Anolis sagrei: one gene and its partners. The protein of the gene in region 4 purifies or fractionates together with the protein of the main gene of each other region. This does not show direct contact. Links are inferred from orthologs where the notes say so. Each region holds a gene or a part of one and is shown on either strand. Other genes may lie near its edges.

Evidence for each region.
Region 1: the proteins of PRKAR2B (region 4) and AKAP11 purify together in Homo sapiens (affinity purification with mass spectrometry; 3 studies listed by BioGRID and IntAct, counting the BioPlex papers as one, with this or other methods). This does not show direct contact. The link is inferred for Anolis sagrei from reciprocal best matches to the Homo sapiens genes PRKAR2B and AKAP11.
Region 2: the proteins of PRKAR2B (region 4) and CDK5RAP2 purify together in Homo sapiens (affinity purification with mass spectrometry; 3 studies listed by BioGRID and IntAct, counting the BioPlex papers as one, with this or other methods). This does not show direct contact. The link is inferred for Anolis sagrei from reciprocal best matches to the Homo sapiens genes PRKAR2B and CDK5RAP2.
Region 3: the proteins of PRKAR2B (region 4) and AKAP1 purify together in Homo sapiens (affinity purification with mass spectrometry; 3 studies listed by BioGRID and IntAct, counting the BioPlex papers as one, with this or other methods). This does not show direct contact. The link is inferred for Anolis sagrei from reciprocal best matches to the Homo sapiens genes PRKAR2B and AKAP1.

What each region holds. Positions count from the first base shown.
Region 1 is NC_090023.1:145,617,842-145,624,970, forward strand, and holds the start of AKAP11 (A-kinase anchor protein 11), read right to left. Parts: upstream 3,015-7,129; 5' UTR 2,796-3,014; intron 1-2,795. UniProt on the Homo sapiens protein: Binds to type II regulatory subunits of protein kinase A and anchors/targets them.
Region 2 is NC_090031.1:14,494,217-14,502,168, forward strand, and holds the start of CDK5RAP2 (CDK5 regulatory subunit-associated protein 2), read right to left. Parts: upstream 3,017-7,952; 5' UTR 2,803-3,016; coding exon 2,750-2,802; intron 1-2,749. UniProt on the Homo sapiens protein: Potential regulator of CDK5 activity via its interaction with CDK5R1. Negative regulator of centriole disengagement (licensing) which maintains centriole engagement and cohesion. Involved in regulation of mitotic spindle orientation.
Region 3 is NC_090031.1:20,968,566-20,975,692, reverse strand, and holds the start of AKAP1 (A-kinase anchor protein 1, mitochondrial), read left to right. Parts: upstream 1-4,113; 5' UTR 4,114-4,264; intron 4,265-7,127.
Region 4 is NC_090025.1:83,399,373-83,406,965, forward strand, and holds the start of PRKAR2B (cAMP-dependent protein kinase type II-beta regulatory subunit), read right to left. Parts: upstream 3,019-7,593; 5' UTR 2,793-3,018; coding exon 2,489-2,792; intron 1-2,488. UniProt on the Homo sapiens protein: Regulatory subunit of the cAMP-dependent protein kinases involved in cAMP signaling in cells. Type II regulatory chains mediate membrane association by binding to anchoring proteins, including the MAP2 kinase.

The DNA of each region.
Region 1 (7,129 bases), on a different chromosome or scaffold from region 4:
GCAGCTTCAAAGCCTGGCTGGTTGCTGCCTGGGGCATCCTTTGTTGGGATATGTTAGCTGGCCCTGGTTGATTCTTGTCTGGAATTCCCCTGTTTTTCAGAGTGTTGTTCTTTATTTCCTGTCCTGATTTTAGTGGGGTTTTTTTCCATACTGGTAGCTAGATTTTGTTTATTTTCATGGTTTCCTCCTTTCTATTGAAATTGTCCACACGCTTGTGGATTCCAATGGCTTCTCTGTCTGTATTATTATCTATCTATCTATCTATCTATCTATCTAAATGCTCTGTTTGTTTTGAGTGACATCATAACTCAAAATCTGCTGGACGAATTGCCGCCAAATTTGGCCACAAGACACCTACTAACCCAAGGAGTGACCATCACTAAAAAAAATGATTTTGTCATTCGGAAGTTGTAGTTGCTGGGATTTATAATTAACCTACAATCAAAGAGCATTCTGAACTCCACCAATGATGGAATTAACCAAACGTCACACACAGGCCTCCCATGACCAACTCCCTTCACCAGGGTAAGAAAACGTAATCAAATCCCTCCTGACAAGGAGCCATCCAGCCATAGATATAGATAGATATATATGATTCACACACACACAGATATAGTATCCTAGATCTGAAAGGGACTCCTAAAGAAGGACAATTATTTATTTATTTATTTATTTATTTATTTAAAGCATTTATATTCCGCCCTTCTCACCCCGAAGGGGACTCAGGGCGTAGCACAACATATAAACTGCAAACATTCAATGCCGAAACATATTAGACCATACACATGCAAAAGCATTAAAACCACTTATCTTGACATTAAAATCCACTACTTAAAACTGTCTGAACAACCATATCAAATTTGGTTGGCATACTAAAGGTTCCTATCGCTGCTTCATTGCACAGTCCCAAACGTGCACAGTCTGCATGTTCCAGAGTAGGCAAACCAGATAATCTCCTCATCAACACTGACAAAGAAACAGCAAGAAATACTACTCACCCAAAAGCATAAAGAAATTACATATATTAGAAACCAACACTTTCTCTTTACTTTATTTTCCAGATCACCAGACTGGGCCATAGCAATGCATGGCAGGGGACGGCTAGTTATTATTATCTATATAAATAAAAATGTAATGTTTGTTTGTAGGATTAACACAACTCAAAACCCACTGGACAAATTGACACCAAATTTGGACGGCATACACCTAACAACCTAATGTATGTCCTTCACTAAAAAAAAAAATTGATTTTGTCATTTGGGAGTTGTAGCTCCTGGGATTTATAATTAACCTACAATCAAAGAGCATTCTGAACTCCATCAATGATGGAATTGAACCAAATGTGGCACACAGGATTCCCATGACCAACAGAAAAGACTAGAAGGGTTTGGTAGGCATTGACCTTGAGTTTGGGAGTTGTAGTACACTTATACCCAGAGAGCACTGTGGACTCAAACAATGATGCATCTGGACCAAACTTGGCACGGATGCTCCATATGCCCAAATATGAACACAGATGGAGTTTGGGGGAAATAGACCCTGACATTTGGGAGTTGTAGTTACTGGGATTTATAGTTCACCTACAATCAAAAAGCATGCTGAACCCCACAAATGACAGAATTGGGGCAAACTTCCCACACAGAACCCCCATACTTAAGGGCATCCAGTCCAACTCCCTTCACCAGGGCAAGAAAATGTATTCAAAGCCCTCCTGATAAAGAGCCATCTAGCCACAGATAAAAAGGTAAAGGTTGTCCCCTGACATTAAGTCCAGTCGTGTCCGACTCTGGGGTTTGGTGCTCATCTCCATTTCTAAGCCGAAGAGCCAGCGTTGTCCATAGACACCTCCAAGGTCATGTGGCCAGCATGGCCGCATGGAGCGCCGTTACCTTCCCGCCGGAGCGGTACCTATTGATCTACTCACATTTGCATGTTGTCAAACTGCTAGGTTGGCAGAAACTAGGACTGACAGCGGAAGCTCACACCACTCCCTGGAATCGAACCTGCGACCTTTTGGTCAACAAACTCAGCAGCTCAGTGCTTTAACCCACTGCGCCACCGGGGGGGCCAAGATATAGATAGATATATATGATTCACACACACACACACAGATATTGTATCCTAGATTTGAAAGGGACCCCTAAAGAAGGACAATTATATGTTGCATGTTCCAGAGAAGGCAGACCAGACAATCTCTATACCAATATTGACAAAGAAACAAGAAGAAATACTGTTTACCCACAAGCAGAAAGAAATTACATATATTAGAAACCAACACTTTCTCGTCACTTTATTTTCCAGATCACCAGACTGGGCCACAGCAACGCGTGGCAGGGGACAGCTAGTTGTTATTATTGTCGTTGTTGTTATTATTACTAAAGTTGTATCCTGAGGCGAAGCTGTGAGACAAGCTGTCAGAGGCTGTCAGACTCTGTTCCTTCGCGGGTATTGGACTTCAACTCCCAGAAGCCTTGGCTGCCTAGGCCGACGCTCAGGGATTCTGGGAGTTGAAGTCCAAAACGCCTGGCAGCCCGTAACCCCTTCGTGGCCGAAGCAATTGGGAGTTGACTCCGGCCCCAAGCGACCTAAAAACGCCTCAACGGCCCGCCTCAGAAATCCTTCCTTTGGGCATTGGTCAAGTATTAACCTTCCCTGGGCTGTGTGTGTGTGTGAGAGAGAGATAACCCGTGAGGGAAATGGGGCGAAGAGGCATGCGGGGCCTGACAGGCCTCCTTCCTTCGGCCGCCACCATTGGGCTCCTTTCCCTTCGTCTTTCTGAGGGGCCGCCGCCTTACCTGCCGCCGGCCAATTGCCTCAGACCTCCGCCGCGCCCTCCTCACCGCAGCCCAAACCACCTCGCCGCCGCAGCTGGGGCCCCTTCGCCACTTCCTCTCGCGAGACTCGTGGCCTCCATCCCCAACTGCCTCTCCGGACGGCGGCCGCCGCGGCCCCCTTCAGTCTCCATCTGCCGCACGCGCCCCCGCCGCGTCGCCTGACGTACCGCGCATGCGCAGGAGCGCCCTTGAGGTGCCACTGCCAGGGCCCGGGCTGAGGAAGAGGACACACCTGGGGCCTTCACTGCAACACGTTACAGCAGGCTTGGGGCAAAACTTGGGCCCTCCAGGTGTATTGGACTTCAACTCCCACAATTCCTAACAGCCTCAGGCCTCTTCCTTTTCCTCCTCAGCCGTTTAAGGAAGAAGCCTGAGGCTGTTAGGAATTGTGGGAGTTGAAGTCCAAAACACCCGGAGGGCCCAAGTTTGCCCCATGCCTGCGTTACAATGTTAGTCCTTAAAAGACCAACATTTCATTAATATCAGCAGATCTGTGTGCAAAGTAACATATATTAGAATATTATATGATATTTCTAGGTGCAAAGATTACTGCAGATGCAGACTGTGGCCAGGAAATCAGATGAAATCTTCTTGGGAAGAGAGCAATGTCCACTCTAAATAAAATAGTAAAGAGCAGAGACATCAGACTGGCAACAAAGATCTGCCTAGTCAAAGCCATGGTATTCCCTGTAGTAAGCTACAGATGTGAGAGCTGGACCTTAGGGAAGGCTGAGCGAAGGAAGATCGATGCTTTTGAGCTGTAGTGCTGGAGGAAAGTGCTGAGAGTGCCTTGGACTGCGAGAAGATCCAACCAGTCCATCCTCCAGGAAATAAAGCCCGGCTGCTCACTGGAAGGAAGGATACTAGAGACAAAGTTGAAGTACTTTGGTCACATCATGAGGAGACAGCAAAGCCTAGAGAAGACAATTATGCTGGGGAAGGTGGAAGGCAAAAGGAAGAGGGGCCAACCAAGGGCAAGATGGATGGATGGCATCCTTGAAGTGACTGGACTGACCTTGAAGGAGCTGGGGGTGGTGACGGCCGACAGGGAGCTCTGGCGTGGGCTGGTCCATGAGGTCACGAAGAGTCGGAGACGACTGAACGAATGAACAACATGATATGCCAATGGTATTGATTCTATATCATTATAGAGTGGCTTTCAAAATCTAGGCCAGGGATCTTCAAACTTTGTAAACAGAGGGCCAGGTCACAGTTCCTCAAACTGTTGGATGGCCGGATTATAATTTGGAAAAAAAAACCATGAATGAATTCCTATGCACACTGCACATCTTATTTGTAGTGCAAAAAACACTTGAAAACAATACAATAATTAAAATAAAAAATTTAACAAATATAAACTTATTAGTATTTCAATGGGAAGTGTGGACCTACTTTTGCCTAATGAGATAGGATTGTTGTTATTGGTGTGTGTTTTCAAGTAGTTTCAGACTTAGGTTGACCCTGAGCGAGGGCCGGGTAAATGACCTTGGAGGGACGTATCTGGCCCCTGGGCCTTAGTTTGAGGACCCCTGATCTAGGTTATCTGAGTCCTCATTGCCATATTCCCAGGGCCCTTCCACATAGCCCTTTATCCCAGAATATCAAGGCAGAAAATGCCACATTATCTGAGTGTGGACTTAGATAACCCAGTTCAAAGCAGATATTGTGGGATTTTCTGCCTTGATATTCTGGTATATAGGGCTGTGATCGGAGGTCACCCGCCCCCCCACCCACCCCTACCCCACCCCCGGAATTCTGAACAAATAGTTCAAAATTAGGGAATTCATAGTTTTGCCAAGGGCATCAGGCTGGAATGATCCCATAATCCCCTATCTCTCCTCCTGTTTTTATGAATGGACTCCGACTACTCAGTGCTCCCCTGAACTTCCATGCACCCACCCCCATGAACTCTTATGTGTTCATATGAACTTTCATGAAATTTATGGGAACTTTTATAAACTTTTGCCAAACATTATGAACTTTTATGGGCTTTTGGGGGGCTTACATGATTTCCCCTTAGACCCTGCATGATTCCCCCTCCCCCCATAAACTCTATGTATGCTCCCATACCCCCATCCCCTGCATCTATGTATGTCTATTAGGCCTGTCGGTTTTAGTTCGTTAATTCGTTATTTCGTAATTTAATCGTTATTTTTACCATATCCGACGCGATTTCAAAACATATTTTCAAACCCGGAAGGGTTTAAAAATATCGAAACAGCAGCCCCATTTTTTTTACGAGCTTCAGCTCGTCTCGTTAATGGGATGGAGGCTGCTGTGCTGCTGGTGCCTGGGAGCCAATCCGGCGCTCCCAAGCACCCAGCAGTAAATGGGGCGGGCGGGGTGAAGGGGCGGCGCGAGCAACACAGCTGGGAGGAGGAGGAGGAGGAGGAGGGCGCAGCAGCCGGAGCCGATTGGATGGCGTGCGCGCTCCTGCGCCCTCCTCCTCCTCCTCCTCCTCCTGGCACTTCCTGCAACACAGCTGGGAGGAGGAGGAGGAGGAGGAGGGCGCAGGAGCGCGCGCGCCATCCAATCGGCTCCGGCTGCTGCGCCCTCCTCCTCCTCCTCCTCCTCCCAGCTATGTTGCAGGAAGTGCCAGGAGGAGGAGGAGGGCGCAGCAGCCGGAGCCGATTGGATGGCGCGCGCGCTCCTGCGCCCTCCTCCTCCTCCTCCTCCTCCTCCTGGCACTTCCTGCAACACAGCTAGGAGGAGGAGGAGGAGGAGGAGGGCGCAGGAGCGCGCGCGCCATCCAATCGGCTCCGGCTGCTGCGCCCTCCTCCTCCTCCTCCTCCCAGCTGTGTTGCAGGAAGTGCCAGGAGGAGGAGGAGGAGGGCGCAGCAGCCGGAGCCGATTGGATGGCGCGCGCGCTCCTGCGCCCTCCTCCTCCTGGCACTTCCTGCAACACAGCTGGGAGGAGGAGGAGGAGGAGGAGGGCGCAGGAGCGCGCGCGCCATCCAATCGGCTCCGGCTGCTGCGCCCTCCTCCTCCTCCTCCTCCTCCCAGCTATGTTGCAGGAAGTGCCAGGAGGAGGAGGAGGAGGAGGAGGGCGCAGCAGCCGGAGCCGATTGGATGGCGCGCGCGCTCCTGCGCCCTCCTCCTCCTCCTCCTCCTCCTCCTGGCACTTCCTGCAACACAGCTGGGAGGAGGAGGAGGAGGAGGAGGGCGCAGGAGCGCGCGCGCCATCCAATCGGCTCCGGCTGCTGCGCCCTCCTCCTCCTCCTCCTCCCAGCTGTGTTGCAGGAAGTGCCAGGAGGAGGAGGAGGAGGGCGCAGCAGCCGGAGCCGATTGGATGGCGCGCGCGCTCCTGCGCCCTCCTCCTCCTCCTCCTCCTGGCACTTCCTGCAACACAGCTGGGAGGAGGAGGAGGAGGAGGAGGAGGGCGCAGGAGCGCGCGCGCCATCCAATCGGCTCCGGCTGCTGCGCCCTCCTCCTCCTCCTCCTCCTCCCAGCTGTGTTGCAGGAAGTGCCAGGAGGAGGAGGAGGAGGAGGAGGAGGGCGCAGGAGCCGGAGCCGATCGGATGGCGCTCTTGCTGTGAGTTTTCAGGCTCTTTTGCTGTGAGTTTTCAGGGCTGTATGTATGACCATGTTCCAGAAGCATTCTCTCCTGACATTTTGCCCACATCTATGGCAGGCCTCCTCAGAGGTCTGTTGGAAACTAGGCAAATGGAGTTTCAGTTTATCTATGGAATGTCCAGGGTGGGAGAAATGAAAGCCATTCAATGCTAATCAAGGTGACCATTACTGCAACATTCACACTTACTAGGCCTGTTTGATCAAGAAAAAATTTGTTTCTAAAATGTTTTGTAAATATTTACGAAATTTCGTAAATAACAAAACATTTTTTTGGAAAGTTTTGTAAATATTTTAAATATCGAAACAAAAAAACACCCCAATTACAAATCGATTTTAGAAACAATTTTTTTCTTGATCAAACAGGCCTAATGTCTATATTAGAAAATATTAAGGAAAACAACCTTTACATGATCCAGCAACTCATGGCTCTTGGAGTTTCCAAACTTCCTGGGCTGATAGTCCCCTAAAAAAGGACTCAACCAGATCCATTTGCATGGACAATAAGTAAATGGCTCTATCTATCTGGACCTCGGAGGGCTGATAGCCAGGCCATCCAGAACAATGGAGTCTATGGACATACTGGATCACCCAACACAAAAAAAAATCTCTCCATCTGTGAGGAACCCGGGGATTTGTCATCAACCTCCCTGCTGTGCCACATCCTGTTCTCCCGAAACTAGCATCAACTTCATCAATGAACTCCATATCACAGGACAGTGTGA
Region 2 (7,952 bases), on a different chromosome or scaffold from region 4:
CAAAAATGACGATTCTGGAGGATGGCCACTATTTTCAAAGTAAGAACAGCACAATGAAACAGGAGTAACACTGTGTTGTCAAAGGTTTCATGGCTGGCATCAATGGGTTGCTGTGAGTTTTCCGGGCTGTCTGGCCGTGTTCCAGATGGCAAGCTATTTAACCTCAGCAGACTGAAAGCCAAAACCAAGATTACAACAACATCCGTTATAGAACTCCAGTACGCTAATGACAACGACGTCTGTGCGCATTCAGAAGAAGACCTACAAGCTACTCTACACATCTTCGCAGAAGCTTACGAGAAGCTTGGCCTGTCATTAAACATTGATAAACCAAAGTGCTCTTCCAGCAGTCACCAGCCATCCCCTCTCCAATGCCAGAAATACAGCTTAATGGTGTAACATTAGAAAATGTTGACCATTTTCGCACCCTTGGCAGCCACCTCACCACAAAAGTCAACATCGACACCGAAATACACCGCCTGAGCTCTGCGAGTGCAACATTTTTCTGAATGAAGCAGAGAGTGTTTGAGGACCAGGACACCCGTAGGGATACCAAGGTGCTTGTTTATAAAGCTATTGTCCTCCCAACCCTGCTATATGTCTGCGAAACATGCACTGTCTACAGACGTCACATGCAAGTCCTAGAATGATTCCATCAGCGCTGACTCCGAAAAATCCTGCAAATCTCTTGGGAAGAGAAGCGGACAAATGTCAGCGTGCTGGAAGAAGCAAAGACCACCAGCACTGAAGCGATGGTCCTCCGCCATCAACTCCGCTGGACCGGCCACGTTGTCCGGATGCCTGATCACCGTTTCCCAAAGCAGTTGCTCTACTCTGAACTCAAGAACTGAAAACGGAATGTTGGTGGGCAGGAAAAGAGATTTAAAGATGGGTTCAAAGCCACCTTAAAAACTCTGGCATAGACACTGAGAACTGGGAAGCCCTGGCCCTTGAGCGCTCCAGCTGGAGGTCAGCTGTGACTAGCAGTCCTGTAGAATTTGAAGAGGCACGAATGGAGGGCGAAAAAGAGAAATGTGCCAAGAGGAAGGCTCATCAAGCCAACACCAACCAGGACTGTCTTCCATCTGGAAGCCAATGTTCTCACTGCAGGAGAACATGCAGATTAAGAATAAGGCTCCACAGTCACCTACGGGCCCACCGCCAGTACACTGATCTTGGAAGACAATCCTACTCGGACAATGAGGGCTCATCTAAGTAGGTAAGTAAGCTATGGACAAGTCTACACAGCTGTGGACAAGTCTCCAGCTTGAGGTCAGCTGTGACCAGCAGTGCTGCAGAATTTGAAGAGGCACGAATGGAGGGAGAAAGGGAGAAATGTTCCAAGAGGAAGGCGCGTCAAGCCAACCCCAACCGGGACCGTCTTCCACCTGGAAGCCAATGTTCTCACTGCGGGAGAACATGCAGATTAAGAATAGGGCTCCACAGTCACCTACGGACCCACCGCCAGGACACTGATCTTGGAAGACAATCCTACTCGGACAATGAGTAAGCTATGGACAAGTCTACACAGCTGTGGACAAGTCTCCAGCTGGAGGTCAGCTGTGACCAGCAGTGCTGCAGAATTTGAAGAGGCACAAATGGAGGACAAAAGAAAGAAACATGCCAAGAGGAAGGTGCGTCAAGCCAACCCCGAGGACCGGGACCACCGTCCACCTGGAAACCAATGCCCTCACTGTGGGAGAAGATGCAGGTCAAGAATACAACTCCCTTGCTGCACCAGCTCCACTGGCTGCCGATTTGCTACCGGGCTTAATTCAAAGTGCTGGCGTTGGCCTATAAAGCCCTAAACGGTTCTGGCCCAAGCTACCTATCCGAACGTATCTCTGCCTATGAACCCACCAGGACTTTAAGATCTTCTGCGGAGGTCCTGCTCTCAATCCCGCCTGCATCGCAAGCATGGCTGGCGGGGACGAGGGACAGGGCCTTCTTTGGTGGCCCCTCGGCTGTGGAACGCCCTTCCCATGGACATTAGATCAGCCCCTTCGTTAATCGTGTTTTGAAGAAAACTAAAAACCTGGCTGTTTGAACAGGCGTTCAGATAAATAGTGCAATTGAACGATGAATATAGGAACGGATTTATGGATGACGAATTGGATCACGATTTTAGTTACGAGATGCTAATGTGTTGTTATTGATGTGTCATTATTTGTATACTAGGCTGTTAAGGGTTTTAAATATTGTATGTTGTACGATTGACTTTTTTGCTCTTGTTGTGAACCGCGTTGAGTCGCCTACGGGCTGAGAAACTGCGGTATACAAGCAAAGTAAGTAAATAAATAAATAAGAAATAAGAATAGGGCTCCACAGGCACCTGCGGATCCACAAGAATACTCGGCCAACAAAGGATAGCCTAAGTAAGTACCAGTAGTATTGTATTATTATATTGCAATATTATTATTGTTATCTATTATTATATTGTATTATTAGTTTCATATTCTATTACATTATATACTAAAAGCAAACCAATCCAAGTCTCAGGTAGACTGTGCCTGTGTCTGGACGCTCTATTGTATAATACTATGTTACTCTCAGGTAGACTGCGCCTATGCCTGGAGGCTCTACTGAACCCATTTCCCTTCCCTTGGAAAGACTTCTCTTCTCTCACGCCTGCTTCTTTGTCCTCCGACTGGAATTCAGTCTTGGGCCCGAAGGAGTTAATTCCCCCCTCCCCCCCCCCCTTTTTCGCGGCCTAGCGCCTTTTGAGGGCCAAACCCGCCCTCGTCCTCACCTGCCGTTGAAGCCCAAGGGCAAGGTGGGGTCCTCCGCCGGGAGGGAGTCCATGGCGGAGGGAGAGAGAGAGGGGACGAGAGCGGGCGGCTGCGGCTCCTCCGCCGGTGGCCCGGGCTGCTCTGCTCCCGACTTTGGCGGCGGGCTCGGAATTCAAACCGCCACTCAGCCCGACGCCATCTTCCCGAAGCCAACGAAGCCGCCCTCAGAAGGGCAGCCGCAGACCGCCTTAGGCCGCGTGCCCTCTTCCCTCTCCAGAAACGCCTCGGGCGCCATCTTTGTTGAGGGAATCGATGTGGCAAAAGTGGGCGGGGAAGGAGGAGGGGCTCGAGAATCATAGACTCACTGAAACATAGAGACCACCCTGTCCAACCAGGAAAAGTACAAAAGGGTCCCTGACAGATGGCCATCCAGTCTAAATAATTAATAGTAATAATAGAGTTTTAGGCAATCAGCTCTCTATAATCCGCTGTGGAGCTGAGCGCCATTTTGGAAAAGCCCGTCGGCCATCTTGAAGCCGACGCAGCCGCCCTTGAAAGGGCAACTGCACTCAAGGGTAGGGCGAGCTCTTTCTTTCCTGGGGGAATTGTTCTTTGAGGGTGCTTCGCGCGCCATCTTTGTTGAGGGACTCAGGGATGCCAGGGGAGGGGAGGCCCGGATGTTGGAAGCGCCTGCGCAGTGAGCGATAGGAAAGGGCTAAGGACCGCCCCTTCACAGCCAGCTGAATGTGAAAAGAGCCATTCTTTCCTTCATACGCCTTCCCCTTCCTTCCTTTTCTTCCATCCTTCCTTTTCTATTTCCTTCTTCCATTCTTTCCTTCATACACCTTCCCCTTCCTTCCTTCTTCCATTCTTTCCTTCATAACCTTCCCCTTCCTTCCTTCCTTCCTTTTCTATTTCCTTCTTCCATCCTTTCCTTCATACACCTTCCCCTTCCTTCCTTCCTTTTCTATTTCCTTCTTTCATCCTTTCCTGCATACACCTTCCCCTTCCTTCCTTCCTTCCTTTTCTATTTCCTTCTTCCATTCTTTCCTTCATAACTTTCTCCTTCCTTCCTTCCTTCCTTCCTTCCTTGCTTCCTTCCTTCCTTTTCTATTTCCTTCTTCCATTCTTTCCTTCATAACTTTCTCCTTCCTTCCTTCCTTCCTTGCTTCCTTCCTTCCTTTTCTATTTCCTTCTTCCATTCTTTCCTTCATACACCATCCCCTTCCTTCCTTCCTTCCTTTTCTATTTCCTTCTTCCATTCTTTCCTTCATAACTTTCTCCTTCCTTCCTTCCTTTTCTATTTCCTTCTTCCATTCTTTCCTTCATACACCTTCCCCTTCCTTCCTTTTCTATTTCCTTCTTCCATTCTTTCCTTCATACACCTTCCCCTTCCTTCCTTCCTTCCTTTTCTATTTCCTTCTTCCATTCTTTCCTTCATAACTTTCTCCTTCCTTCCTTCCTTCCTTCCTTGCTTCCTTCCTTCCTTTTCTATTTCCTTCTTCCATTCTTTCCTTCATAACTTTCTCCTTCCTTCCTTGCTTCCTTGCTTCCTTCCTTCCTTTTCTATTTCCTTCTTCCATTCTTTCCTTCATACACCATCCCCTTCCTTCCTTCCTTCCTTTTCTATTTCCTTCTTCCATTCTTTCCTTCATAACTTTCTCCTTCCTTCCTTCCTTTTCTATTTCCTTCTTCCATTCTTTCCTTCATACACCTTCCCCTTCCTTCCTTCCTTCCTTTTCTATTTCCTTCTTCCATTCTTTCCTTCATACACCTTCCCCTTCCTTCCTTCCTTCCTTTTCTATTTCCTTCTTCCATTCTTTCCTTCATAACTTTCTCCTTCCTTCCTTCCTTCCTTCCTTGCTTCCTTCCTTCCTTTTCTATTTCCTTCTTCCATTCTTTCCTTCATAACTTTCTCCTTCCTTCCTTCCTTCCTTGCTTCCTTCCTTCCTTTTCTATTTCCTTCTTCCATTCTTTCCTTCATACACCATCCCCTTCCTTCCTTCCTTCCTTTTCTATTTCCTTCTTCCATTCTTTCCTTCATAACTTTCTCCTTCCTTCCTTCCTTCCTTCCTTCCTTTTCTATTTCCTTCTTCCATTCTTTCCTTCATACACCTTCCCCTTCCTTCCTTCCTTCCTTTTCTATTTCCTTCTTCCATTCTTTCCTTCATAACTTTCTCCTTCCTTCCTTCCTTCCTTCCTTCCTTGCTTCCTTCCTTTTCTATTTCCTTCTTCCATTCTTTCCTTCATAACTTTCTCCTTCCTTCCTTCCTTCCTTGCTTCCTTCCTTCCTTTTCTATTTCCTTCTTCCATTCTTTCCTTCATACACCATCCCCTTCCTTCCTTCCTTCCTTTTCTATTTCCTTCTTCCATTCTTTCCTTCATAACTTTCTCCTTCCTTCCTTCCTTCCTTGCTTCCTTCCTTCCTTTTCTATTTCCTTCTTCCATTCTTTCCTTCATAACTTTCTCCTTCCTTCCTTCCTTCCTTGCTTCCTTCCTTCCTTTTCTATTTCCTTCTTCCATTCTTTCCTTCATACACCATCCCCTTCCTTCCTTCCTTCCTTCCTTCCTTCCTTCCTTCTTCCATCCTTTCCTTCATAGACCTTCCCCTTCCTTCCTTCCTTCCTTTCTTCCTTCCTTCTTCCATCCTTTCCTTCATACATCTTTCCCTTCGTTCCTTCTCTATTTCTTTCTTCCATTCTTTTCTTCATACACCTTACCCTTCCAAAGTGCTGGCTTTAGCTTATAAGTCCCTAAACCAATGTTTCTCAACCTGGGGGTTGGGACCCCTGTGGGGGTTGCCGGGGGTATCAAAGGGGTTGCCAAAGAACATTAGAAAACAAGAGTACTTTCTGTTGATCATGGCAGTTCTGTGTGGGAAGTTTAGCCCAATTCTATCGCTGGTGGAGTTCAGAAGGCTCTTTGATTGTAGGTGAACCATAAATCCCAGCAATCAGTGATGGATCTGGACCAAACATGGCACCAATACTCAATATGCCTAAATGTTAACAGTGGTGGAGTTTGGGGGAAATAGACCTTGACATTTGGAAGTTGTAGTTGCTGGGATTTATAGCTCACCTAAAATCAAAGAACATTCTGAACCCCACCGATAGAATTGAGCCAAACTTCCCACACAGAATCGCCATGACCAACAGAAAATACTGTGTTTTCTTATGGTCTTCGGAGACCCCATTAATAGCCCTCTTGTGATCCCTTCAGGGGTCCCGACCCCCAGGTTGAGAAATGCTGGCATAGCCTCTGGAGACATCTCCCCCAAGACTACCTCCACCGGCCTATTGGAAGCCAGCTGGGAGGAGATCCCCGCCTACGTCACCACTGCTTCCTCCAATCAGGGTGTGCACCGGCTAGGACCTGCCTCCTGACCAATCAGAGGCCTGGAGAACGCCAGCTGGCTTCTCAGCGACAACCAATCAGGGGAAAGGGAGGGAGTTTCAAAACATAGCAATGTTGATTCATGAGAATCTTCATGTATAAAAATGCCTGTTTATGGTTATCATCCTTTTACACTTGTCCCCTTTGTGCAGATTGACAGAATAAAGTCTCTGTCATTTGCCTTCAACCTGTTGAGCTTCCCGATTCCTGACTCAAAACATCCTTGGATAGTGAAGCTTGCCAGGCATCCCTCGGGATCCGCGGTGCTTTGAAAAACCGCCAATTTTCAGCATCAAAGGGTCTGTGGGCCAGATTTGGTCCAGATCCACTAATCCATGAAGGAGCCATTGTGGGACAAACCAACATACATACATACCTTGATTTTTAGCTTCCTCTCTCTCTCTCTCTCTCTCTCTCTATATATATATATATATATATCAATTTTTCTTCAATTTTTTAGCCAGTTGCTTGAGTGTTCCAGTTAACTGAGATGAATATTTATGTATGATTATGTCGTACTGCCGAGACCTGAAAGAGGGGACGGTGATGGTATCATTTTGAAGCAGTTAACAAATTTGCCCAGCGACGCTAATCGGATTGGCTCTTTTTGTTGAGTCTTATCTTAATGAGTTGTCCATTTCAGGCGATTATTAAGCCCCTCTTAAACCGGGAAATTGCAGCCGACGACAGCAAAAGTTCAGCGTCTGGGCATTGTTTGTCTGTTTGGAAGGCAGGTTCAGCCACGAAAGGCCAGCATCTGTGGGTCGGGTGGAACGAGTCGAGAGCTGGGAAGGAATGCTTTTAGGATTAGGATTAGTGCATTGCAGATACAAGCAGATGCTGTCTGGCTGCTGGCAAAATTGGAGCTTTCCTTGGATCCCCTTCCCAACACCAGCCTTTTCCATTGCAGTTTCTGTGGGTTCTCCTTTTTATGTATTTTTGCCTATCCTTTTCTCTAACCTGGTGCCCTCTAGGACAACGGCTGGATCCGTACTGACATATAATGCAGTTTGGAACTGCATTATATAGTCAGTGTAGACCCATATGATGCAGTTCAGTGTAGTTGAATTACATTATATGCATTGGCACTGACCCAGTAATGCATTGTAAGGGTCTACGCTGTCCCTATAGTGCATTACATGAGTCAACACTGATCCTATAATGCATTATATGAGTCTACACTGTCCCTCTCAAGCATTATATGAGCCTACAGTGACCTATAATGCATTATATGAATCTATGCTGTCCCTATAATGCATTGTATGGGTCTGCGCTGTCCCTATAATGCATTATATGAGCCTACACTGACCTATAATGCATTATATAAATCTATGCTGGCCCTATAATGTACTATATGAGTATGCACTGACTCTGTAATGCATACTGACTATAATGCACTATATGAATCTACACTGTCCCTATAGTGCATTATATGAACCTACATTATCCATATAGTGCATCATACGGGTCTACACTGATCCTATAATGCATTATATGAGTCTACACTGGCCCTATAATGCACTATATGAGTATGCACTGACTCTGTAATGCATACTGACTATAATGCACTATATGAATCTACATTATCCCTATAGTGCATTATATGAGTCTACATTATCCCTATAGTGCATCATAGGAGTCTACACTGATCCTATAATACATTATATGAGTCTACGCTGGCCCTATAGTGTATTATAGGAGCATACACTGACCTATAATGCATTATATGAATCTACGCTGGCCATATTGTGCATAATATGAGCCTAAACTGGCCTATAATGCATTATATGAATCTACGCTGGTCCTATAATGCATTATATGAATATACAG
Region 3 (7,127 bases), on a different chromosome or scaffold from region 4:
TCCAGCTTGTCAATATCTCTCTTGAATTGTGGTGCCCAGAATTGGACACAATATTCCAGGTGTGGTCTAACCAAGGCAGAATAGAGCATGGGGAGCATGACTTCCCTGGATCTAGACACTATGCTCCTATTGATGCAGGCCAAAATCCCATTGGCTTTTTTTGCTGCTGCATCACATTGTTGGCTCATGTTTAAGTTGCTGTCCACAAGGAGCGCAATATCTTTTTCACACATACTACTCTCGAGCCACGCATCCACCATTCTGTATCTTTGAATTTCGTTTTTCTGCCTAAGTGGAGTCTCTTGCATTTGTCCCAATTGAACTTCATTTTGTTAGTTTTGGCCAATCATCTTTCTAATCTGTGAAGATCACTTTGAATTCTGCTTCTGTCTTCCGGAGTCTTGGCTCTCCCTCCCAATTTGGTGTCATCTGCAAACTCATGCTCCCCATGCTCTATTCTGCCTTGGTTACACCACACCTGGAATACTGTGTCCAATTCTGAGCACCACAATTGAAGGGAGAGGTTGACCAGCTGGAATGTGTTCAGAGGGCGACTCAAATGATCAAAGGTCTGGAAAACAAGGCCTATGAGGAGCGGCTTAAAGAACTGGGCATGTTTAACCTGCAGAAGAGAAAGCTGAGAGGAGACATGATGAGGTGCATGTATAAATATGTGAGAGGGAGTCATGGGGCGGAGGGAGCGAACTTGTTTCCTGCTGCCCTGGAGACTGGGACACAATGGAACAATGGCTTCAAACTACAAGAAAGGAGATTCCATCTGAACATGAAGAACTTCCTGGCTGTGAGAGCTGTTCAGCAGTGGAACTCTCTGCCGCGGATTGTGGTGGAGGCTCCTTCTTTGGAAGCTTTTAAACAGAGGCTGGATAGCCATCTGTCAGGGGTGATTTGAATGCAGTTTTCCTGCTTCTTGGCAGAATGGGATTGGACTGGATGGCCCACGAGGTCTCTTCCAACTCTAGGATTCTATGAACTCGAAGTTCTGGGAGTTAAAGTCCAAAACACCTGGAGGGCCCAAGTTTGCCCATATCTGGCCTAGACCCAGGGGTGGCTCAACCCAATACGCAAAGTAAACATTTGCAGTATAGTTGATTTTGCTCAGGCGCACTCTTGGGGGGAAATAGACCTTGACATATGTGAGTTGTAGTTACTAGGATGTATAGTTTACTTACAATCAAAGATCATTCTGAACTCCACCAATGATGGAATTGAACCAAATATGGCACACACAACTCCCACAACAGACAGAAAATATATATCAATGATTGGTTTGGGGGGGGGGGGTGCCAAAATACTGTTTGCTTACCATTGAAATGGTAAGCCCCCGGTGGTGCAGTGGGTTAAAGTACTGAGCTGCTGAGCTTGTTGATCAAAAGGTTGCAGGTTCGATTCCGGGAGCGGCGTGAGCTTCTGCTGTCAGCCCTAGCTTCTGCCAACCTAGCAGTTTGAAAACATGCAAATGTGAGTAGATCAATAGGTACCGCTCCGGCGGGAAGGTAACGGTGCTCCATGCAGTCATGCTGGCCACATGACCTTGGAGATTATTTATTTATTTATCGTGTCATCCGCAACCAGAACATTGTATTACATTTCTAGCAGAACAAAACAAACAAACAGATTAAAAAAAACAAATTTTGCAAACTTGGTAGCTGATTAAATGTCCCTTGACCAGTATCTGGCCACTTGGAGTGCTTCTGGAGTTGCCGCAAGAAGGTCCTCCATGGTGCATGTGGCAGGGCTCAGGTTGCATTGCAGCAGGAGGTCAGTGGTTTGCTCTTCTCCGCACTCGCATGTCGTGGATTCCACTTTGTAGCCCCATTTCTTAAGATTGGCTCTGCATCTCGTGGTGCCAGAGCGCAGTCTGTTCAGTGCCTTCCAAGTCGCCCAGTCTTCTGTGTGCCCAAGTGGGAGTCTCTCATCTGGTATCACCCACGGATTGAGGTGCTGGGTTTGGGCCTGCCACTTTTGCTGAGGTGTTCCAGCGAGAGTCTCTGTAGATCTAAGAAAAGTATTTCTTGATTTGAGTCGTTGACATGCTGGCTGATACCAAACAAGGGATGAGCTGGAGATGTCACTGCCTTGGTCCTTTCACTATTGGCTGCTACTTCCCGGCGGATGTCTGGTGGTGCAATACCGGCTAAGCAGTGTAATTTCTCCAGTGGTGTAGGGCGCAGACACCCCGTGATAATGTGGCATGTCTCATTAAGAGCCACATCCATTGTTTTAGTGTGGTGAGACGTTTTCCACACTGGGCATGCGTACTCAGCAGCAGAGTAGCATAGCGCAAGGGCAGATGTCTTCACTGTGTCTGGTTGTGATCCCCAGGTTGTGCCAGTCAGCTTTCGTGTGATATTGTTTCTAGCACCCACTTTTTGCTTGATGTTCAGGCAGTGCTTCTTGTAGGTAAGAGCACGGTCCAGAGTGACTCCCAGGTATTTGGGTGCGCTGCAATGCTCCAGTGGGATTCCTTCCCAGGTCATCCTCAGAGCTCGGGATGCTTGTCCGTTCTTAAGGTGAAAGGCGCATGTCTGTGTTTTAGATGGATTAGGGATCAGCTGGTTTTCCCTGTAATGGGCAGTGCGGCTGGCGGGTACGAGAGACAGGGCCTTTTCTGTGGTGGCCCCACGGCTATGGAACGCCCTGCCCTTGGAGGTAAGATCAGCCCCTTCATTGATGATATTCCGAAGAAGATTGAAGACCTGGGTGTTTAAGCAGGCATTTGGTTAACCCAATGCAACGAATGGTAACTGACTAAAGGACTGGCAACATGGATGACGAACTGGATCACGTTTTTAGTTAAGAGTCGAACTGGATTGGTATTGATGTATGAATTGTGTTTTTATGTTTTTTATGTTTTTTATGCTTTTAACTGTATACTGTTGATTGTTATATTATGTTGTAAACTGCGTTGAGTCGCCGGCTAGGCTGAGAAACGGCGGTATATAAATATAGCAAATAAATAAATAAATAAATAAATAAGAGCACCTAGAGCTTCGGAGAGCTTCTGTTCTGCCATCTCAAAGCTCCCTGCTTGAGCAGTAATGGCACGATCATCAGCATAGATGAAACTCTCTGTCCCTTCTGGCAGTGGCTGGTCATTTGTGTAGATGTTGAACATGGATGGAGCAAGCACGCTCCCCTGAGGCAGGCCGTTCTTCTGTTTCCGCCATCTGCTTCTCTGGCCCTGGAACTCAACAAAAAAGCTCCTGTTTTGTAGCAGGTTTCCTATGAGGCGGGTGAGGTGGTCGTCCTTTGTGATATTGTACATTTTTCTCAAGAGGAGGCGGTGGTTCACAGTCTCATAGGCTGCGGACAGGTCTATGAATATAGCTCCTGTGATCTGCTGACTTTCAAAGCCATCTTCTATGTGCTGAGTCAGGTTCAACACTTGCGATGTGCAGCTTTTGCCTTTCCTGGAGCCAGCTTGCTGTGGGATCAGACATGGGAATCAGACACCTTGGAGGTGTCTACGGACAACGCTGGCTCTTCGGCTTAGAAATGGAGATGAGCACCACACCCCAGAGTCAGACATGACTGGACTTCATGTCAGGGGACTACCTTTATCTTTTTTAGCCAGATTTTGTTCATTTAATGGTTTCACCCTTTCTGACAAGAGTCCTTTGCCCCACCCTGGTCATTCCACAGATATATAAACCCATTTTCCTAGTTCCAACAGACCTCACTACCTCTGAGGATGCTTGCCATAGATGCAGGCGAAACGTCAGGAGAAAATGCCTCTAGAACATGGCCATACAGGCCGAAAAAACCTACAACAACCTATTGTATGGTCCTTTCTCGTCTTACTCCATCAGTTCTGGAAGCCCATGTGTAGAATTAATTCAGTTTGATACCACTTTTGACTGCCATGGCTCAACACTGTGGAATTATACTACATCTCCCAGGGTCCCATAGCACTGGGTCATGAGAAAGCGGGTGAAATCGTTGCGCGGTCCCTCCTCGTCATTCCTTTGAGCCTGAGTCGGGTCACGCATGCGCAATGGGCAGCCTTGTCCTGCTCCCAGGGAGGGAAAGGGAAGTCTCGCGCGGGCTGGGAGGGGGTGGGGCGGAGGGGGCGGGGCGAGCGGGGCCTTAAAGGCGCGGTGGGCGGGGCCAAGAGGACGCTGTGTATTTTGGTCGGATGCCTCAGCGTTCTGAAGGGCCCCGGCGGGCGGGAGGCAGGGAAGGAAGGCGGCACGTGGAGCGGAGCGGGGCCCGGGCCCAGGCCGAGCAGAAGCCTCCCAGGACGGTGAGAGGGGCCTGCTTTGGGGCCCTTGCGCGCCCTTCCGGTTCTTCTGCCTTTGCCCCTTGGCGGGGGGGGGGTGTGTGTGTCAGTCTCAGCCCTTTAGTATTGTTGTGATACTACATACAAGGCTTGGATTTCCAACCAAGTTTGCAGGAGGCCCCTCTATTGGTATTCTATTACTATTAATATCATTACTGTGTTGTCTAAGGCTTTCATGGCCGGAATCACTGGGTTGCTGTGAGTTTTCTGGGCAGTATAGCTATGTCCCAGAAGCATTCTCTCCTGACGTTTCGCCCACATCTAGGCCTCCTCAGAGGTTGTGAGGAGGGGAGAAAGGTCTCTTGTCTGCAGACAAGAATGGCCTTGCAGCTTCAAAGCCTGGCTGCTTCCTGCCTGGGGAAGAACCCCAGGTTGGGAGGTGTTAGCTGGCCCTGATTGTTTCCTGTCTGGAATTCCCCTCAGAGATTGTGAGGAGGGGAGAAAGGTCTCTTATCTGCTGAAGGTTGCAGCAGACAAGAATGGCCTTGCAGTTTCAAAGCCTGGCTGCTTCCTGCCTGGGGAGGAATCCCAGGTTGGGAGGTGTTAGCTGGCCCTGATTGTTACCTGTCTGGAATTCCCCTCAGAGGTTGTCAGGTCTGTTGGAAACTAGGTAAGTGGGGTTTATATACTCGTATATATACTAGTTGTCACCTGCCACACACTGCTGTGGCCCAGTCTGTTCCAGAAGCATTCTCTCCTGATGTTTCGCCCACATCTTTGGCAGGCCTCTTCAGAGGTTGTGAGGAGGGGAGAAAGGTCTCTTTGCTGAAGGTTGCAACAGACAAGAATGGCCTTGCAGCTTCAAAGCCTGGCTGCTTCCTGCCTGGGGAGGAATCCCAGGTTGGGAGGTGTTAGCTGGCCCTGATTGTTTCCTGTCTGGAATTCCCCTCAGAGATTGTGAGGAGGGGAGAAAGGTCTCTTGTCTGCTGAAGGTTGCAACAGGCAAGAATGGCCTTGCAGCTTCAAAGCCTGGCTGCTTCCTGCCTGGGGAGGCATCCCAGGTTGGGAGGTGTTAGCTGGCCCTGATTGTTTCCTGTCTGGAATTCCCCTCAGAGATTGTGAGGAGGGGAGAAAGGTCTCTTATCTGCTGAAGGTTGCAGCAGACAAGAATGGCCTTGCAGTTTCAAAGCCTGGCTGCTTCCTGCCTGGGGAGGAATCCCAGGTTGGGAGGTGTTAGCTGGCCCTGATTGTTACCTGTCTGGAATTCCCCTCAGAGGTTGTCAGGTCTGTTGGAAACTAGGTAAGTGGGGTTTATATACTCGTATATATACTAGTTGTCACCTGCCACACACTGCTGTGGCCCAGTCTGTTCCAGAAGCATTCTCTCCTGATGTTTCGCCCACATCTTTGGCAGGCCTCTTCAGAGGTTGTGAGGAGGGGAGAAAGGTCTCTTTGCTGAAGGTTGCAACAGACAAGAATGGCCTTGCAGCTTCAAAGCCTGGCTGCTTCCTGCCTGGGGAGGAATCCCAGGTTGGGAGGTGTTAGCTGGCCCTGATTGTTTCCTGTCTGGAATTCCCCTCAGAGATTGTGAGGAGGGGAGAAAGGTCTCTTGTCTGCTGAAGGTTGCAACAGGCAAGAATGGCCTTGCAGCTTCAAAGCCTGGCTGCTTCCTGCCTGGGGAGGAATCCCAGGTTGGGAGGTGTTAGCTGGCCCTGATTGTTTCCTGTCTGGAATTCCCCTCAGAGATTGTGAGGAGGGGAGAAAGGTCTCTTGTCTGCTGAAGGTTGCAACAGGCAAGAATGGCCTTGCAGCTTCAAAGCCTGGCTGCTTCCTGCCTGGGGAGGCATCCCAGGTTTTTAGGTGTTAGCTGGCCCTGATTGTTCCCTGTCTGGAATTCCCCTCAGAGGTTGTTGTCAGGTCTGTTGGAAACTAGGTAAGTGGGGTTTATGTACTTGTATATATACTAGTCGTCACCTGCCACACACTGCTGTGACTCAGTCTGTTCCAGAAGCATTCTCTCCTGACGTTTCGCCCACATCTTTGGCAGGCCTCTTCAGAGGTTGTGAGGAGGGGAGAAAGGTCTCTTGTCTGCTGAAGGTTGCAGCAGACAAGAATGGCCTTGCAGCTTCAAAGCCTGGCTGCTTCCTGCCTGGGGAGGAATCCCAGGTTGGGAGGTGTTAGCTGGTCCTGATTGTTTCCTGTCTGGAATTCCCCTCAGAGGTTGTCAGGTCTGTTGGAAACTAGGTAAGTGGGCTTATATGCTCGTATATATACTAGTCGTCACCTGCCACACACTGCTGTGGCTGAGGCTGTTCCAGAATTCTCTTCCAGAAGCATTCTCTCCTGATGTTTCCCTCACATGTATGACAGGCATCCTCAGAGGTTGAGGGGTCTGTTGGAAACTAGGCAAGTGGGGTTTATATATCTATGGATTCATATAATGCATATTGTATATACATATAATATTTATAATATTATAACCATAGAGTCATAGAATCCTAGAGTTGGAAGAGACCTCATGGGCCATCCAGTCCAACCCCATTCTGCCAAGAAGCAGGAATATTGCATTCAAATCACCCCTGACAGGTGGCCATCCAGCCTCTGTTTAAAAGCTTCCAAAGAAGGAGCCTCCATGACACTCCGGGGCAGAGAGTTCCACTGCTGAACGGCTCTCACATAATGTAATGCAATATAATACTAGTAATAATAATACAATATTATAATTGTAATATTGTTGTCATTGTTTTTAGAGTTTTATTGTTTTTGCTTGATGTTTTATTATTTGCCTCTTTTTAAGCAGAGGGCCAGGTCACAGTCCCTCAAACTGTTGGAGGGCCAGATTATAATTTGGAGAAAAAAATGAATGAATTCCTATGCACACTGCACA
Region 4 (7,593 bases):
CAGTGCAGGTTTGCCCAAAGAAAGGCACAACCAAGAGCAGTGTTTCTCAACCTGGGGGTAGGGACCCCTATGGGGGTCGTGAGGGGGTGTCAGAGGGGTCACCAAAGATAATAAGAAAACACAGTATTTTCTGTTGGTCATGAGGATTCTGTGTGGGAAGTTTGGCCCAATTCTATCATGGGCGGGGTTCAGAATGCTCTTTGATTGTAGGTGAACTATAAATCCCAGCAACAACAACTCCCAAATGTCAAGGCCTATTTCCCCCAAAATCCACCAGTGTTCACATTTGGGCATATTGAGTACTTGTGCCAAGTTTGGTTGAGATCCATTATTGTTTGATCCACAGTGCTCTCTGGATGTAGGTGAACTACAACTCCAACACTCAAGGTCAATGCCCACCAAACCCTTCCAGTATTTTCTGTTGGTTATGAGGGTTCTGTGTGCCAAGATTCATTAATTTCAATAGTTGGTGGAGTTCAAAATGCTCTTTGATTGTAAGTTAACTATAAATCCCAGCAACTACAACTCTTAAATGAAAAACTCAATCCCCCCCCCCCCCAAACCCCATCAGTATTCAAATTTGGGTGTAACAGGTATTTGTGCCAAATTTCATCCAGTGAATGAAAATCCATCCTGCATATCAGATATTTACATTACGATTCATAACAGTAGCAAAATTTCAGTTATGAAGTAGCAACAATAATAATGTTATGGTTGGGGGTCATCCAGGGGCGGCTCGTCCATTACGCGAAGTAAGCGGTCGCAGAACACTTTTTGCCAGGGGCGCAGAGGCGCCTCTGTAAATGCCCCTCGACCGCCACTTGAGGAGCGCCCCCTTAGCTCACAACAGCCCTAGCAGTCCGGGGGGAGCCTCGGGTTTCTTGCCTTGCTGCCGGGCGATCCTCTTCCCAAAGGGGCCGGGCCCTTGAGCCTCACCTAGCCCCTCTCGTTCCTGCTCCACCCGGCCACCGGGTGCGCAAGCAGAGCCGGCGCTCAATCATTCTCCGCGTTCGATCCCTTCCCCATGACCGGCTCCCTTTCCCGATCCCCCGGCGCTCCACCCGCCTCCTCTCCTTTCCCCAATCCGTGGGTGGGCCAAGGGGCGGAGGCGTGTCTGAAGGCCCCAGTGTGTGTCCCAAAAGTCACTTCTTCTCCTGACTTTCTCTTCAGCCATTGGGACCGAGAGAGAGAGAGAGAGCCCCTCTGGCTGGAGGTATCTCCCACCTCCGCTCCCACCTTTGTTTTTGCGCCTACCTTCAGGAAAGGTGGGCATCTCCACCTCTATGTATCTCTCTCTCTCTCGGTCCCAATGGCTGAGGAGAAAGACAGGAGAAGAAGTGACTTTTGGTGCACACGCCGGGGTCTTCAGGCACGCCTCCAGACCCAAAGCGGGCCAGGCAAAGGAGCAAGTGCGGCAAGTGTAGTTACTGGGTAGTTACTGCGTCATACAGGGAGCATACCACTCACTTGCTATGTCAGCTCCACTGGCTGCCGATCCAGTTCCGAGCACAATTCGAAGTGCTGGTTTTGACCTACAAAACCCTTTACGGCTCCGGCCCAGCGTACCTGTCCGAACGTATCTCCTTCTACGTCCCACCTCGGAGTTTAAGATCTTCTGGGGAGGCCCTGCTCTCGGCCCCACCTTTATCACAAGTGAGACTGGTGGGGACAAGGGACAGGGCCTTCTCGTTGGTGGCCCCTCGCCTATGAAATGCACTCCCCGGGGAGATTAGGTCATCAACATCCCTCCTCTCCTTCAGAAGGAAGTTAAAAACCTGGATGTGGGACCAGGCCTTCGGGTAAGCTGGCAGTGGACAAAAGACAATGACGACCAGCGTAGGAAAGGATAATGACGATGCTAGACGGATCATGGATTTATGAATCGATGAACATTGGCCACAATATGATTTTATTGCCGCGACTGTATTGTTTGATTGTTTTAATTAGTTATAATTGTTGACAATTGTATGTTGTATTTTATGAAGTGTCAGGCATCGAATTGTGCCTTTTGTAAGCCGCCCTGAGTCCCCCCTAGGGGGTTGAGAAGGGCGGGGTAGAAGCACCCCAAATAAATAAATAAATAAATGCTGGGATGTATAGTTCACCTACAATCAAAGAGCATTCTGAACTCCACCAATGATGGAATTGAACCAAATATGGCACACAGAACTCCCACGAGGAACAGAAAATATATATCAATGATTGGTTGGGGGGGGGGGGGCAGGCGCCAAAATACTGTTTGCTTACCATTGAAAATTACTTAGGGCCGCCTCTGGGGTCACCACAACATGAGGAACTGTATTAAGGAGTCCCAGCATTAGGAAGGTTGAGAAACACTAACCTAGAGGGTGGGAGAGGGGGCGTGGTCTAACTAGACCCTGGTCACGCCCCTGGGAGTGGGCGGGGCCTCCTCTTCATGGCCCCGCCTCCTCCCACACACTCACACTCACACACAGAGGGGAGGGGGAGGCTTTTTTCTGCGTCTCACCGGGGAAGCCCTCCGCCTCGCCGTCCTCGTCGCCTTCGCCGCTCTCGGAGTCAGTCTGCATGGGCTCCTCGGCGAAGTTGACCCCGCCGCGGGGCGCCTGCTTCCCCCTCGGGGTCCCCGGCGAGGCGGCATGGAGCCGGCCGGCGTCCCCTCCCTCCTCCTCTTCCTCCTCCTCCTCCTCGGCCTTGAGGCGCCCGAAGTACTGGAGGGCGAAGTCCAGCAGGTCCCCTGGCTGGCTCCTCAGCACCTCCACGGTGAAGCCTTGCAGCAGCTCCGTCAGCCCCTCCGGGACGGAGATGCTCATGCCGGGCGCTGCGAAGGGGCCGCTCCGCGAGTCAAGCGTCAAGGAAGCATGAAGGAGCCACTGCGGTGGCCGGCCCCGCTCCCGCCGCTGCCGCTGCCGCTGCTGCTTCCCTCAGGCGCCCTCGAGGAAGAAGGAGCCTCGCGCTGGCTCGCTCTGTCTCTCCCGCACGCGCGCGCTCCTTCTCTCTCTCTCATACACACACACACACCCGGCTCCGCGCGCCTCGAAAGCCTCCCGCGCGCGCGCCTGCGCACGTGACCCGCGGAACCATGGCAACCCCCCGCCGCGGCCAAGGAAAGGAGAGGGAGAGCGCGCGCGCGAGAGAGAGGGAGGCTAGGCTTTCACCAGAGCGAGGAGAGAGGGGCCACGCGCGAGAGAGACAACCAAGTGAAAGCCTATTCGTACTATTATATCGCATTATAAGTGCTGCTGTTCAGCTGCCACTGCCATGGTGCCTCCTTATGGAAACCTGATATTTAGGGAGAAGTACAACAGGCCCTTGGAACCCTTCCACGCAGACATATCAGAATATCAAGTCCATTTCCAGATAATCCAGTTCAGTGTGGATTTTATACAGCTGTGTGGAAGGGGCCTAAATGTCATCAGTTGGGGGGCCCTCTCCCCAGCACCAACTGCCACTCAATGTGGATTTTGTACAGCTGCGTGGAAGGGGCCTAAATGTCATCAGTTGGGGGGCCCTCTCCCCAGCACCAACTGCCACTCAATGTGGATTTTGTACAGCTGTGTGGAAGGGGCCTAAATGTCTTCAGTTGGGGGGCCCTCTCCCCAGCACCAACTGCCACTCAATGTGGATTTTGTACAGCTGTGTGGAAGGGGCCTAAATGTCTTCAGTTGGGGGGCCCTCTCCCCAGCACCAACTGCCACTCAATGTGGATTTTGTACAGCTGTGTGGAAGGGGCCTAAATGTCTTCAGTTGGGGGGCCCTCTCCCCAGCACCAACTGCCACTCAATGTGGATTTTGTACAGCTGCGTGGAAGGGGCCTAAATGTCATCAGTTGGGGGGCCCTCTCCCCAGCACCAACTGCCACTCAATGTGGATTTTGTACAGCTGCGTGGAAGGGGCCTAAATGTCATCAGTTGGGGGGCCCTCTCCCCAGCACCAACTGCCACTCAATGTGGATTTTGTACAGCTGTGTGGAAGGGGCCTAAATGTCTTCAGTTGGGGGGCCCTCTCCCCAGCACCAACTGCCACTCAATGTGGATTTTGTACAGCTGTGTGGAAGGGGCCTAAATGTCTTCAGTTGGGGGGCCCTCTCCCCAGCACCAACTGCCACTCAATGTGGATTTTGTACAGCTGTGTGGAAGGGGCCTAAATGTCTTCAGTTGGGGGGCCCTCTCCCCAGCACCAACTGCCACTCAATGTGGATTTTGTACAGCTGTGTGGAAGGGGCCTAAATGTCATCAGTTGGGGGGCCCTCTCCCCAGCACCAACTGCCACTCAATGTGGATTTTGTACAGCTGTGTGGAAGGGGCCTAAATGTCTTCAGTTGGGGGGCCCTCTCCCCAGCACCAACTGCCACTCAATGTGGATTTTGTACAGCTGTGTGGAAGGGGCCTAAATGTCATCAGTTGGGGGGCCCTCTCCCCAGCACCAACTGCCACTCAATGTGGATTTTGTACAGCTGTGTGGAAGGGGCCTAAATGTCTTCAGTTGGGGGGCCCTCTCCCCAGCACCAACTGCCACTCAATGTGGATTTTGTACAGCTGTGTGGAAGGGGCCTAAATGTCATCAGTTGGGGGGCCCTCTCCCCAGCACCAACTGCCACTCAATGTGGATTTTGTACAGCTGTGTGGAAGGGGCCTAAATGTCTTCAGTTGGGGGGCCCTCTCCCCAGCACCAACTGCCACTCAATGTGGATTTTGTACAGCTGTGTGGAAGGGGCCTAAATGTCTTCAGTTGGGGGGCCCTCTCCCCAGCACCAACTGCCACTCAATGTGGATTTTGTACAGCTGTGTGGAAGGGGCCTAAATGTCTTCAGTTGGGGGGCCCTCTCCCCAGCACCAACTGCCACTCAATGTGGATTTTGTACAGCTGTGTGGAAGGGGCCTAAATGTCTTCAGTTGGGGGCCCTCTCCCCAGCACCAACTGCCACTCAATGTGGATTTTGTACAGCTGTGTGGAAGGGGCCTAAATGTCATCAGTTGGGGGGCCCTCTCCCCAGCACCAACTGCCACTCAATGTGGATTTTGTACAGCTGTGTGGAAGGGGCCTAAATGTCTTCAGTTGGGGGGCCCTCTCCCCAGCACCAACTGCCACTCAATGTGGATTTTGTACAGCTGTGTGGAAGGGGCCTAAATGTCATCAGTTGGGGGGCCCTCTCCCCAGCACCAACTGCCACTCAATGTGGATTTTGTACAGCTGTGTGGAAGGGGCCTAAATGTCTTCAGTTGGGGGCCCCTCCCCCCAGCACCACTTGCCACTCTGAGCCAGAGTGAAGTGAGGGGGGGGGCAGGGGGCAGTTCCACCTTGTGGCCTGTGCTATGCTAATAATATAATCTATATAAATAAAAAATGTAATGTTTCTTTGTGGGATTCACAAAACTCAAAAACCAGTGGGCCAATTGGCACCAAATTTGGACAGCATACACCTAACAAACCAATGTATGTCCTTTATTCAAAAATTTTTGATTTGGGAGTTGTAGTTGCTGGGCTTTATAGTTCACCTACAATCAAAAAGTATTCTGAACTCCACCAATGATGGAATTGAACCAAACGTGGCACACAGAACTCCCATGACCAATAGAAAACACTAGAAGGGCATTGACCTTGAGTTTTGGAGTTGTAGTTCAGCTACATCCAGAGAGCACTGTGGACTCAAACAATGATGAATCTGGACCAAACTTGGCACAAGCACTCAATACGCCCAAATATGAACACAGATGGGGTTTGAGAGAATAGACCTTGACATTTGGGTGTTGTAGTTACTGGGATTCACAGTTCACCTACAATCAACGAGCATTCTGAACCCCACGAACAACAGAATCGGGCCAAACTACCCACGCAGAACCCCCATGACCAACAGAAAATACTTAAGGCCATCCAGTCCAACTCCCTTCACCAGGGCAAGAAAACATAATCAAAGCCCTCCTAACAAAGAACCATCCAGCCATAGGTAGATAGATAGATAGATAGATATTATTCACACACACAGAGATATAGTATCCTAGATTTGAAAGGGACCCCTAAAGAAGGACAATGATATGTTGCATGTTCCAGGATGGGCAAACCAGACAATCTCCACATCAACAATGGCAAAGAAACAACCAGAAATGCTGTTTACCCACAAGCATAAAGAAATTACATATATTAGAAACCAACATTTTCTCATTACTTTATTTTCTAGATCAACAGACTGGGCCACAGCAATGCATGGCAGGGGACAGCTAGTATAATATAATGTATTGTCGAAGGCTTTCATGGCCGGAATCACTGGGTTGTTGTAGTTTTTTTGGGGGGGGGGGGGCTATATGGCCATGTTCTAGAGGCATTCTCTCCTGACATTTCGCCTACATCTATGGCAAGCATCCTCAGAAGTAGTGAGGATGCTTGCCATAGATGCAGGCGAAACGTCAGGAGAGAATGCCTCTAGAACATGGCCATATAGCCCAAAAAACCTACAACAACCCAATATAATATAAAGCAATATAATATATTGTATATACATATAATATTTATAATATTATGTAATGCAATATAATACTAACAATAATATATATTGTGAGATTTTCTGCCTTGATATTCTGGGATATAGGGCTGTGTGGAAGGGCCCTGGGATAGTCCAGACTTCCATATATTCCAGTTCAAAGGAGAAAATGAGTGATTTTATTCAGCTGTGTGGAAAAAGCCCCAAAATATCAAAGCAGATAATCCACAATATCTGCTTTGAACTGGATTATATGAGTCCACACTGCCATATAATCCAGTTCAATGTGGATTTTATACAGGAGCTTTGGTATCTGCTTGATGTGGTTCCAGGACCATCAGTGGATACCCAAATCCCATTATATACAATGGCTTATTATTATTAGGCCTGTTCAGTCAATTAAAAATGTTTCAATACTCATGAAATTAGGGGATGAGGGAAAATATTTTATTTTTCTTCTTTTGTATAAATTTTTATTGTGCTAGCTTGGGTACCCATCGTTGCCCAGGTTATTTGAAAAAGTCAGTTTTTCAATTGTACAAAATGCACAATGTGTATGAACTACAACTGACATAACGCCAGGTTAACCCTGAGAAATTTCACCAGTACTTAAAATTTTGTTATGTTGGGCAAATTTGCTCTAGATACATCATCAGTTTTTCCTGCCAAAGTGGAGTATCTTGCATTTGTCCCTGTTGAACTTCATTTTGTTAGTTTTGGCCCATCTCTCTAATCTGTCAAGATCATTTTGAATCCTGCTCCTGTCCTCTGGTGTATTGGCTATCCCTCCCAATTTGGTGTCGTCTGCAAACTTGATGATCATGCCTTCTAAGCCTTCATCTAAGTCATTAATAGAGATGTTGAACAGACCGGGCCCAGGACGGAACCCTGCGGCACTCCGCTCGTCACTTCTTTCCAGGATGAAGAGGAAACATTGGTGAGCACCCTCTGGGTTCGTCCATTTAACCAATTACAGATCCACCTCACCGTAGTTTTGCCTAGCCCACATTAGACTAGTTTGTTTGCCAGAAGGTCATGAGGGACCTTGTCGAAGGCCTTACTGAAATCCAGGTACGCTACATCCACGGCATTCCCCGCATCTACCCAGCTTGTAACTCTATCGAAAAAAGAGATCA